3 linked regions of the Ovis aries genome follow. The protein of the gene in region 1 purifies or fractionates together with the protein of each later gene. This does not show direct contact. Links are inferred from orthologs where the notes say so. Each region holds a gene or a part of one and is shown on either strand. Other genes may lie near its edges.

Region 1 (4,152 bases):
TGTTCTCAGAGGCAGTGAGAAAGTAAACTTGTTAACACACAGAACTTGTTCTTACTCCCAAATTAAAGGGTACAAATGTGTGTGTGTTTAATGCTTTAAAGTCATACAAAACAGCTGGATGTTTATTTCTCCCTCTATTACATTGCCAAGTACGACGTTCTCACAAAGGGAAACTCAGCCTCAGTGGCAGCGCAATCAGTACAATTTCTAGGTTAAGCAGTAGAGAAACAAAGTAAGAAACCTTTCAATTTTCCATCAAACAAAGCAAGGAAAATTTAAACCTGTAATTTAAATTTAATCTCAACACACTTAAAAAAAAATCAAAGCTTTCTCAAACAGTTTCAAGTATAAGCTAGTGTTTTAACACAAACATTTAAAAAGAAAAAAAAAAAAACTTCAAGGGTAGCTCAGCTGATAAAGAATCTGCCTGTAATGCAGGAGATCTCGGTTCAATTCCTGGATCGGAAAGATCCCCTGGAGAAGGGATAGGCTACCCACCCCAGTATTCTTGGGATTCCCTAGTGGCTCAGATGAATCTGCCTGCAATGTGGGAGACCTGGGTTCAATCCCTGGGTTGGGAAGAGTCTCTGGAGAAGGAAATGGTAACCCACACCAGTATTCCTGCCTGGAGAATCCCCATGGACAGAGGAGCCTGGCGGGTTATAATCCATGGGGTCGCAAAGAGTCTGACTGAGCGACTAAGCACACACACACATAGTACTAAGAATCACAAGTGGTGCTGGGCTACACGAAGTCAGAGAAACGAAAGGGACTCCAGAATTTGCCAAGAGCAACTTCCTATAGCCATCCATGGAGTACTGTAACTGCACCGTTTCTGTATTCAGACTATAAAATAAAGGTTCCACCACACACAGAGTTGAAGGCTCATGTCTGATTCTGCATAAATAGACTTGGCTCAATTATGAGCTGGAAGTTTGACTTTTAAATCCTTTAAACAAAGCATCAAGTGACATCCAAATGAGTGTGGGGCAAAAGAGCTGTTTACATTCTGATCCGAAAGCACATAAACAGTATTAAGTCAGTTTCCCTAAGAGACTTAAAAGTGAAACATTTGATCTATTTCATATAAGTACTAAAAAAGCCTGTTAACTGTAATGCTAAATTATTTTAAAAACCACATTCAGTAGCTCTAGCCAACAGGCAACTTGCTCAATTTCTATCTTCTCAAACCACCATGGAGGTGTCCATCTAGTGTCAGGCTGAGTTATCTCATAACTTGGCGACAACAAACTGCAACAATTACAGGATATTTCACAAACAAACTAATCTAGGAATCATCTTTATAAGGTGTGTTGGGGCCTTAATTTGCATTTAAAGAAACATACTTGGGCCACTAACCTGCTGAGGGTTCGAAATCAAGCCAAAGCGCACTGTCATTGATCTTTGTTGATTATCCCGCCTTGGCAATCAGGTAGAACGACCTACCACCCCACAAGCTAATTTTAAATGACTGCTGCACATCGCTCCAGCACATACTCATCGACACCTACCCACTCCACGGCCAGCACTTCACAGCTCCACACCCATGCCCAATCACCCCTGACTCCCTCACCCTCTTGTCAAAGAGAAAAGAACCGCAAAACCTGCTCCCATCTAACCAGAAGCTGACCTCTGAGCAGGAAACAGGTTCACCTTACAAACCTCAAGACCAGTCTGTCTTTGGGTGTGTGAACACACTTAGGCACAAGAAAACACATACATAGTCTCACTTCGCTGCACCTTTACAGTAAGATCCAATGACCATTATTATTCTTTTTATTAAGTCTGAAGAAAGGAGAAACACCCCTTCCTGCGAGCAAGACCGCCCAAAGGACCCACATTCTGATGACAGTTCTGGCCCACAGGCCAACAAAAGTCGGCTCCCAGCGATAACAGCAAAAGAAACCAGTTGAGGGCCTCCTTCTGAGATTATTTCCGTGTCCAGACCCATGCACTACTCTGTGTTTCTCAAGGTTCGGAGAAGGCCTGTCTGCGGTGCCCAGCACAGCACCGAATAATAAACCAGCACAAGCGGCCGGACGCCCGTCACTCGAATGATGGTGATCTCCTTTGCGTGGTGAGGTTGGAGAATGCAGCTTACACAACACGCCGAGGTGGGTGGCCTGGAGGGTCAGGAATCAAGCGCCTCATCACTGTGGTCACTAACCCGCGGTGGGGTGGGGAGGACGGCAGCGTACCGATTCCGGCCCTGGCCATCGTCAGGTCACCCGGTCCGGCGCTTGGCCTCATTCCTCCTGCTCCCGACCCCGGGTCTTGCTTACCAGACCCGTCCTGGCACAGCCCTGGCCCAGGCCCCTGCTGTGCCCGGCCCCTCCCAGACGCGCACCCTGCCGCCGCCCCGGCCGAGCGCAGGTGCGGGGAGCCCGGCTGCGTACCCGGTTCTCCAGCTCCGCGGGGAACTTGGTCTGGAACTGGCAGCGGGTGCCACTGCTGTAGTCTCGCTGAATGAAGACCTTCCCGGACACCGGCGCCTGCTGCGGCCTCATGGCGAGGACAGGACGGGCCGCGCTGCGGGTTCGGGGGACACCAATCACGGTCATACCCCCGGCCTGGACCCAGGACTCCGGCCCGCCAGCCCCACAGATCCGCCCAGCGCCCAGAGCGGCCCAAGGCCTCCCGGCCCCACTCCCCTTCACCCATGCTGGCACCACGGCCCTTCAGCTCCCTCCCCGGCCCAGGCCCCGCGCCCCCCCACAGCCCGGTTCGGCCCGGGAAACACGAACCCGCCTCCTCTGCCCTCCAGCTGCTGTCGCAACGCCTACGCCTCCACTTACGTCCTGCCGCAAAAGGCCTCTTCCCCGCGCTCCACCTACCCGCCCCTCTGCTCGAACACTTACCTCAAGTCTAGGGCCCACCCTCTCCTCCGGCCGTAAAGCGATCCTGTCGAGACTGCGCGCTACCTTGCGGGGACGCGCTGTGGGCGGGGCCCGGGCGGACTCCGCCCCCCGCCCTGCCCGTAGGAGTCCGGCTGGAAGGAAGAGGCAGGGCGGGGCTGCGGGGCGGGTCCGGGGGCGGGTCCTCAGGCCCGGGGGGCGGGGCTGCGGGCCCTTGCAGACTGAGCTCACCAGGGGGTACTTGGCCTAAAGGCTGGGGATTTCTGCCCTGTGTCATTTCCCTGCTGTGTCATTTCCTCTTTTGTCGTGCGGACAGAGTTTCTAATCACTGACTGAAAGGTTTTATTTTCGCTTTTGATTGGAACTCTCAGTTTACACGTGAGAAACCACTCAACCGTACAAAACAAACTGCTCACCCGCATCCCCTCCTCCAGCTTTCCTGGAGGTGTTGTCTTTTCCTTTCACCCCAAAGATTTTTACCTAGTACCCCAGCCTCTGCCCCTCAGGTGACCTGAGAGGCTTGTGTGGGCCCTTGGCGCCCTCCCCCAGCTCAGCATACCTTTGCAAGGCAACCACAGAAGGCCCTGGTGTGCCTGGCTGATACACTATTCCACCTTATCCTCTGTTTTGCTTTCTCAGGTTTCAGTTACCGCCTCTCCCCTCAGTCAACCTCAGTCTGAAAAGATGAAATGGAAGTTTCCAGAAATAAACAATTCATGTTTTAAATTGTGTGCCTATTCAGTTCTGTCATTCAGTCCTGTCCAACTCTTTGCAACCCCATGGAATGCAATATGCCAGGCTTCCCTGTCCATCACCAACTCTCAGAGCTCGTTCACATGCATGTCTATCAAGTCGGAGATGTCATCCAACCATCTCATCCTCTGTCATCCCCTTCTCCTCCCGCCCTCAATCTTTCCCAGCATCAGGGTCTTTTCCAATGAGTCAGTTCCTCACATCAGGTGGCCAGAGTACTGGAGTTTCAGCTTCAGCATCTGTCCTTCCAATGAATATTCAGGACTGATTTCCTTTAGGATGGACTGGTTGGATCTCCTTGCAGTCCAAGAGACTCTCAAGAGTCTTCTCCAGCACCACAGTTCAAAAGCATCAATTCTTCAGTACTCAGCTTTCTTTATAGTCCAACTCTCACATTCATACATGACTACTGTAAAAACCATAACTTTGATTCAGTTCAGTTCAGTTCAGTCGCTCAGTCGTGTCCAACTCTGTGACCTCATGAACCGCAGCATGCCAGGCCTCCCTGTCCAACTCTGAGTCCACCCAAACCCATATCTATTGT
Region 2 (2,540 bases), on another chromosome or scaffold:
ATACACAAAGCATGTATAGAACAGTGCCTGATACACAGGAAGCCCTTAGTAACAGTTAACTATTAGTGTCTTTTTGCTTTTGTCAGAAGAAAGTTAGCACTGTTTTGAACAATGTGCTTTAGGAAAAAAGCCTTAATATTAAAGTACCCCATTTTCACTTTTTGAGAAAAGTTCTGATAGAATATGAAAGAAATTGCCATTGTGAGAAAACTGAAATGGTAACATTTCATTTCTCTCTCTCTCTCTCTTTTGAAATCAGATCTTTGGCGTTGCCAGTTCCTTTTACCTTTTGTTAGTCTAGGTTTGATGTGCTTTGGGGCTTTGATTGGACTTTGTGCTTGTATCTGCCGAAGCTTGTATCCCACCATCGCCACAGGCATTCTCCATCTCCTTGCAGGTGGGTCTCCTTCAAATTTAGTTTTACCTCCTTGTTGCCTTAGGGATCACCTGTCGCTGCCTTTTATCATGCTCTTATCTAGCTATGTTGTTTTTTTTTTTTCCCCCTAAAATTTCCTCCAAGGTCTGTGTACACTGGGCTCAGTGAGTTGTTACGTTGCTGGAATTGAACTACTCCACCAGAAACTGGAGCTGCCTGAGAATGTGTCTGGTGAATTCGGATGGTCCTTCTGCCTGGCTTGCGTGTCAGCTCCCTTACAGTTCATGGCTTCTGCTCTCTTCATCTGGGCTGCTCATACCAACCGGAAAGAGTACACCTTAATGAAGGCATATCGTGTGGCATGAGTGGGAAGCTGCCTGCTTTACAGTTGCCATTTTTATGATTTTTTTTTATATTAATATTGTCCCTTACCTCCCCCTGAATTGTTTTTAATTTAACTTTTTTTGTGTGGATATATCATTTTATCCTGAAAACCCATTTTATTTATTCATGCAGACAGTTGTTTCTCAACACAACTAAAATTTAAATGGAACCTGGGTAATTCCATCTTTTAGTCAAACTAATCTAGGTTCAGAGTCCAGACAGAAAAAAATGGGTAGAGTCTTGGCACAAATTTGTGAGGAAAATTGGTAGTAGGAGGTTGACCCATAGCAAGTTCTGCTGATGTCTATTAGACTTTTCGGTAATGTAACTGTATCTGTTTAACTGGAACTTACAGTTTCTTTGGGAAACCTCTTATTGACAAAACTTATATTCACTTTGCTATTGTAGACAGCCAGTCAGCCAGAGATATTAGTGCTGTCTTCAAGGACTTTGGCTATCTAAAATAAGGAAATCATCTAAGATCCTTTTCCCTAAATATTGGCATACAGTTTCATCTGAAGTGAAATACTACAGTTTTTTATCTGTACACTGTCTGTTTAAAAGAAAGGGAGTGTTTACGTGGAATTTTAACTTTGTTAACTATAAAAATTCCAGTTCAGCCAGTCAGGACGATTAACCTTATTTTACTTTTTTTTTTTTTTTAAATCTTTAATATGTCAGTAGGATTTCCAGTATCAGCAAACCTTTCTGGATTTTTGTTCCTTCTCTCCTCACACACCAGAGTTATTACAAGACTGCTTTGTTTTAAATAATACATTGAGGTCACCGAGTAAAATTTTCCAACTGCTGTTTATTTCAGCTAAGTACCATAAAGAAGGTTCCACCGTAATGACCCTCCAGAGCTAGAACTACCACAAGACCTAAGGCTTTGGCTGGTCATTAACTTCCGACTATGGTCTTTATCTCTTGTGGTGGAATGATGTGCCTTTCCTTGCCTAATCCCCTCCTGGTGTGTGTCAGCATTATTTAATGTCTTCTAATTCAGTCATTTTTTTATAAATACGTCTATAAACATTGAACTTAAAAAAAATCTTATTTATTTATTCCATTACTGTAGTACTTGACAGATTAAAAAAAAGTAACAGTAATTTCTTACAAAATCCTAAATCTGTCTTTTTTAAAAAATAAAAAATGAGAAGAGACTCAGAGTTGTGTATAGTGTCTGAGTTTATTAAATTTCAGTACCTTAGGATAAAACGCACTATAGGATTCTGAATGAGGATTACTGTGATTTTCTGAGGGAAGTGCATTGTTGCTCTGAAGGCCTGTCTTTATGTCTACTGTTTGGGTCTCTTTTTTTATCTTCTAGAAAATGTGGGATGCCTCCACTAGAAAATAAGACTATTTTTTTTTAATGTTTCAGTTTTAAGACCTGTTTTCAAAGTATCATGTATTATGTATCATGTATTATGATACATATCATGTATTATGATAATATTATGTATCATTGCTAATGTGGCTAGTTTTTTTTTTCCTGTTTTTTATCTTTTGGCAGTGCCACATGGCAGGCGGGATCTTAGTTCCCCTGCTAGGGATCAAACCCCTTCCCCGTGGATTGGCTGCTCAAAGTCTTTACCACTGGACACCAGGGAAGTCCCAACATGGCTAGTTTTCGTAAAGTCATTTAATGGCTGGTGGATGTTTATGTTCCATATTAAATAATTAAGTCAGCTTCTGACTTAAAGCCAATATAACTCTTCAGTCAATTATTGCCTGTGGAATGGCTGGTTACTCAGTTTTCTGCCTCTTCCTAACTCTT
Region 3 (3,650 bases), on another chromosome or scaffold:
ACCCCGTGACCACCCCCCAGCCCCGCCCCACTGCCACGGGCCTCCGCCTTCTCCCTGCCGCCGCCCCCCACCCCGGTAGTGCGGCGGCCCACAGGCCTCGAAGGATACGTGACAGCTGTGCGGACCGCAGAGAGCTCCTCCATGTGGTAGAGGACGTAAAGGAGGCCGAAGCCAAACACGCCCGTGATGTGGGCCGTCAGGGAGAGGAGGAAGAGGAAGAAGTAGCGGTAGTTCCGGCGGCCGATGCAGTTGTTCACCCAGGGGCAGTGGTGGTCGAACTCCTGCGGGCGGACAGGGCAGGCTGGGGCCACGGCTGACGGAACCAGACGCCGCTTTAGCTACGTGTGATCACGTTCACCACTTGGTTGCAAAATGTAACAACAGGCTCCTGCGGCTTATCTATCGCTCTGGAGGGCTCCCGGGTGGGGGAGAAGAGCACAGAGCCCGCCGGCCAAGGCAGACACGAGAGACGCGGGCTCCATCCCTGGGTGGGGAAGGCCCCTGCAGGAAGAAACAGCAGCCCGCTCCGGGGCTCTGGCCTGGAGCACCCCACGGACAGAGGAGCCTGGGAGGCTACAGTCCAAAGGGCTACACAGAACTGGAAGGACTGAAGTGACTTAACACATCAATCTGTAACAAAGACCTTCCAGAGGTTGATCAAAGGCCAAGGCCATCTCTCACAGTTTATCCTATGTGACCAAGGAGCTCTGACAGGCACAAACGTCAGAGGCTTGAGGATACATTAAGATTTTTCTTTGGAAAAAACATCTAGTAGGCAACTGCTTATAGCCAAGTAAAAATGGACTGGGAAAAGGGTTAAAAATAAAGGACAAGGAATGCAGGACAGAAAGAGAAATTATACAATTTTTTTTGTGTTTTTAATTTGAAAATTGCACGTTTATTTTTTAATTTTTATCCGAGTATAGGCGCTTTACCATACTGTGCCGGCTCCTGCTGTACAGCGAGCGCAGCAGCCGTCTGTAGCCATGGGCCGCCTTGTGTGGGCCCTGCCCGCCGAGGGCACACAGGGCCCTGAGCAGAGCGCCCTGTGCCGGATGGTGGGCCCGCAGCAGCTCCCTGCTGTAGAACCTGAGTGCAGCAGCGTGGCGTGGGAGACAGAGAGCACGGGGCCAGGGCCAGCAGCCAAGGAGGTGAGCCGGGGCCGGGGCTGGGGCTGGGTGTGGGGGGCCTGCGCCTGCCCACCCGGGGTCCCGCCCGCAGCAGGACACGCACATACACGGCTCTCCACGTACACGGCTGCCAGCACTCTGGCGGAGCGAGAACAGCCCCAGGAGCCGGCCTCGGCCCAGAGCCCGCAGGACTCGCCCCGATGCCGCGGGCGGCCGCCGATGGCCTGGGGGAGGCGTCGCGCGGCGCTCACCTCCACGCAGTTGTCGCAGACGCTGCAGTGGGAACAGCGGGGCGGCCGGTAGAAGCGGCAGGTGGCGCACCATTTCATGCGCACCTGGATGCCCTTGATCTCCACGGTTTTGTATAGTGGCGCCCGGAAGTCGTCTTCTTTGTCTTCATCCTCTTCAGCTGTAGAGAGGAAACGTTCCTGAAAACACCGCGGTGCCGCAACTGTACTAGGCCCTGGGGACAGGCGCAGTGACGCTGCCGTCAAGGAATGCGGCGATCAGCTCTATACACACCACCATGGAAATGAGGAAGTAATTTATTCTACGCTGGGAAAAGCGGGGAAGAGGATGACTCAGAGGCGGCTCTGATATGGATAGGCTGGGATTCTTGGTTTACATATTATGAATATATTTCAAAAGAAATAGATGATTTACATATCAAAGCACATATATAATGAGTCTGCATAACAGTTCAATATTGACAAGTACACGGCTGAGCTACAGAAACCCAAATGGGGAGAAGCGAACTAGTGTGAACCTTCTCTCCGTGCACAAAGCCCCTAGTCAGAGGTCTTCCCCTGACCCCCTACACATGTCAGTACTGTTCTTGGTTCCAGACACTCTCTTTCCCTGAACGCCCTTTCAGTTTTCAGCTATCAGAAACTCACACAGCAGAAAGCAATGCAACACTGTAAATCTACTATTAAAACAAAAAACTCACCACCCCACTTCAAAACTGAAACATTATTTGCCTTCATCTATAGTAAGCAATTTCCATTACTTTAAATTCTTAATCTAAAAAAAAAATACCTGTCGGAAGGAAAAATTAAGTAAGTGATGGTGTAGCGATTATTAAAGTCTTCAAACTCACTGACTAAGGGAAATGCTCACAATGTAACTAAGTGAAAAGGACAAGGTAAAGGGCGGTACAAACTAAAAGGTCCCATTTGGAAACAAACACCGACGGGCACACGTGTGCTGCAGGTGTATGGTGCGCAGGAGCACTGCATGCGTGAGTCTTCAGAACACTGACTGAACGAAAACAGATGGCAATGTAGCAGCAGTTATCCCTGGGCTGTGAAATCACAGGTGACATTCACCCACTTTGCGTGTTTCCCTGGCGATTCAGCTGGTAAAGAATCTGCCTGCAATGCGGGAGACCCGGGTTCGATCCCTGGGTCAGGAAGCTCCCCTGGAGAAGGGAAAGGCTACCCACTCCAGCGTCCGGGCCTGGAGAATTCCATGGAGTCGGACACGACTGAGCGACTTTCACTATCTATTTTATACTTTCTACATTATGAAGATTCTATTTTTTTTAAGGAAAAAATTCAAACACTACTTAGTTTGAAATAACTGATTCTTCCACACCATCGTCTGTCAGAAGTGAGCTCTTGCTCTTCTTACAGTTCTACAGTTTTTGATTCCTCTTAAAAGTCCCCAGTGTATACATCTATGTAAATGTCTTCCCTATCTTCCCTTCTAGACTAAGCTATTTGAAAGCAAGGACCTTAAAAAAAAATCCCGAATGACCACAATCATCAGTAAATATTTGATAAATGGCCATTAAACCTTGGTACAGCAGCCTTCTTTGGCGCTAGGATCTCAACGCGCCTCCTACTACGGTCGCCTTTGACACAGCAGCCGCAGAGCACGGCGACATGGGCTTTGAGAGCGGCGAGTCTCAGACACCTCCCCGCGCTGCAGCTGCCCAGCCCCAGCCTCTTCCACGAGGCAACCGCACACGCGAGAGAAAGTCAGACGCCCGCAGCAGCAGCCACTTCTCTACCTTACTCCAGCGATGCTGGGCCTCACTCTCGCCTCCTGTGCCTGAAGCAGCCCAGCTCTGTGAGCAGCACCCTTCCCCCAGGAGAGGGGAGCCGCTCCTCCTCCCGGCCACTCTTCAGTTACCCGCTTCCCTCAGCTTCAGCCTCTCTCCCCTCTGGCTCCACCTCCTCATGCTACCACCACGTAACGCCTTCTGCATCACGAACAAACGAGACCCTTCCTTCTCTCCCAAGACACTCCTGCCTTCTCTGCTCAACTTCTTGAAAGAAAAACCTTAATCCTCAAGGACGCTGCTCCCTCATGTCCCATTCCCTGCCTTCCAAACTGCAGTCTCGGTAACTTCACTGTCTCTCTCCCACATACGTAAACACATGATTAAAACGGTTCTTGTTGGGAATTCCCTGGTGGTTCAGTGGTCAGGGCTCGGCGCTTTTGCTGCTGGGGCTTGGGTTCAATCCCTGGTCAGGGAACTAAGATCCCACAAGCTGCACAGAAGGACCAAAAACT

Evidence for each region.
Region 2: the proteins of GOLGA7 (region 1) and CLDND1 purify together in Homo sapiens (affinity purification with mass spectrometry; 3 studies listed by BioGRID and IntAct, counting the BioPlex papers as one, with this or other methods). This does not show direct contact. The link is inferred for Ovis aries from reciprocal best matches to the Homo sapiens genes GOLGA7 and CLDND1.
Region 3: the proteins of GOLGA7 (region 1) and ZDHHC5 purify together in Homo sapiens (co-immunoprecipitation; 3 studies listed by BioGRID and IntAct, with this or other methods). This does not show direct contact. The link is inferred for Ovis aries from reciprocal best matches to the Homo sapiens genes GOLGA7 and ZDHHC5.

What each region holds. Positions count from the first base shown.
Region 1 is NC_056079.1:35,764,349-35,768,500, reverse strand, and holds the start of GOLGA7 (golgin subfamily A member 7), read right to left. Parts: upstream 2,905-4,152; 5' UTR 2,859-2,904; intron 2,806-2,858; exon of another isoform or gene 2,745-2,805; intron 2,530-2,744; 5' UTR 2,508-2,529; coding exon 2,397-2,507; intron 1-2,396. UniProt on the Homo sapiens protein: May be involved in protein transport from Golgi to cell surface. The ZDHHC9-GOLGA7 complex is a palmitoyltransferase specific for HRAS and NRAS.
Region 2 is NC_056054.1:163,729,523-163,732,062, reverse strand, and holds the end of CLDND1 (claudin domain-containing protein 1), read left to right. Parts: intron 1-259; coding exon 260-397; intron 398-520; coding exon 521-741; 3' UTR 742-1,927; downstream 1,928-2,540. UniProt on the Homo sapiens protein: Plays a role in negatively regulating the permeability of cells to small molecules.
Region 3 is NC_056068.1:79,735,690-79,739,339, reverse strand, and holds part of ZDHHC5 (palmitoyltransferase ZDHHC5), read right to left. Parts: intron 1,540-3,650; coding exon 1,382-1,539; intron 282-1,381; coding exon 109-281; intron 1-108. UniProt on the Homo sapiens protein: Palmitoyltransferase that catalyzes the addition of palmitate onto various protein substrates such as CTNND2, CD36, GSDMD, NLRP3, NOD1, NOD2, STAT3 and S1PR1 thus plays a role in various biological processes including cell adhesion, inflammation, fatty acid uptake, bacterial sensing or cardiac functions.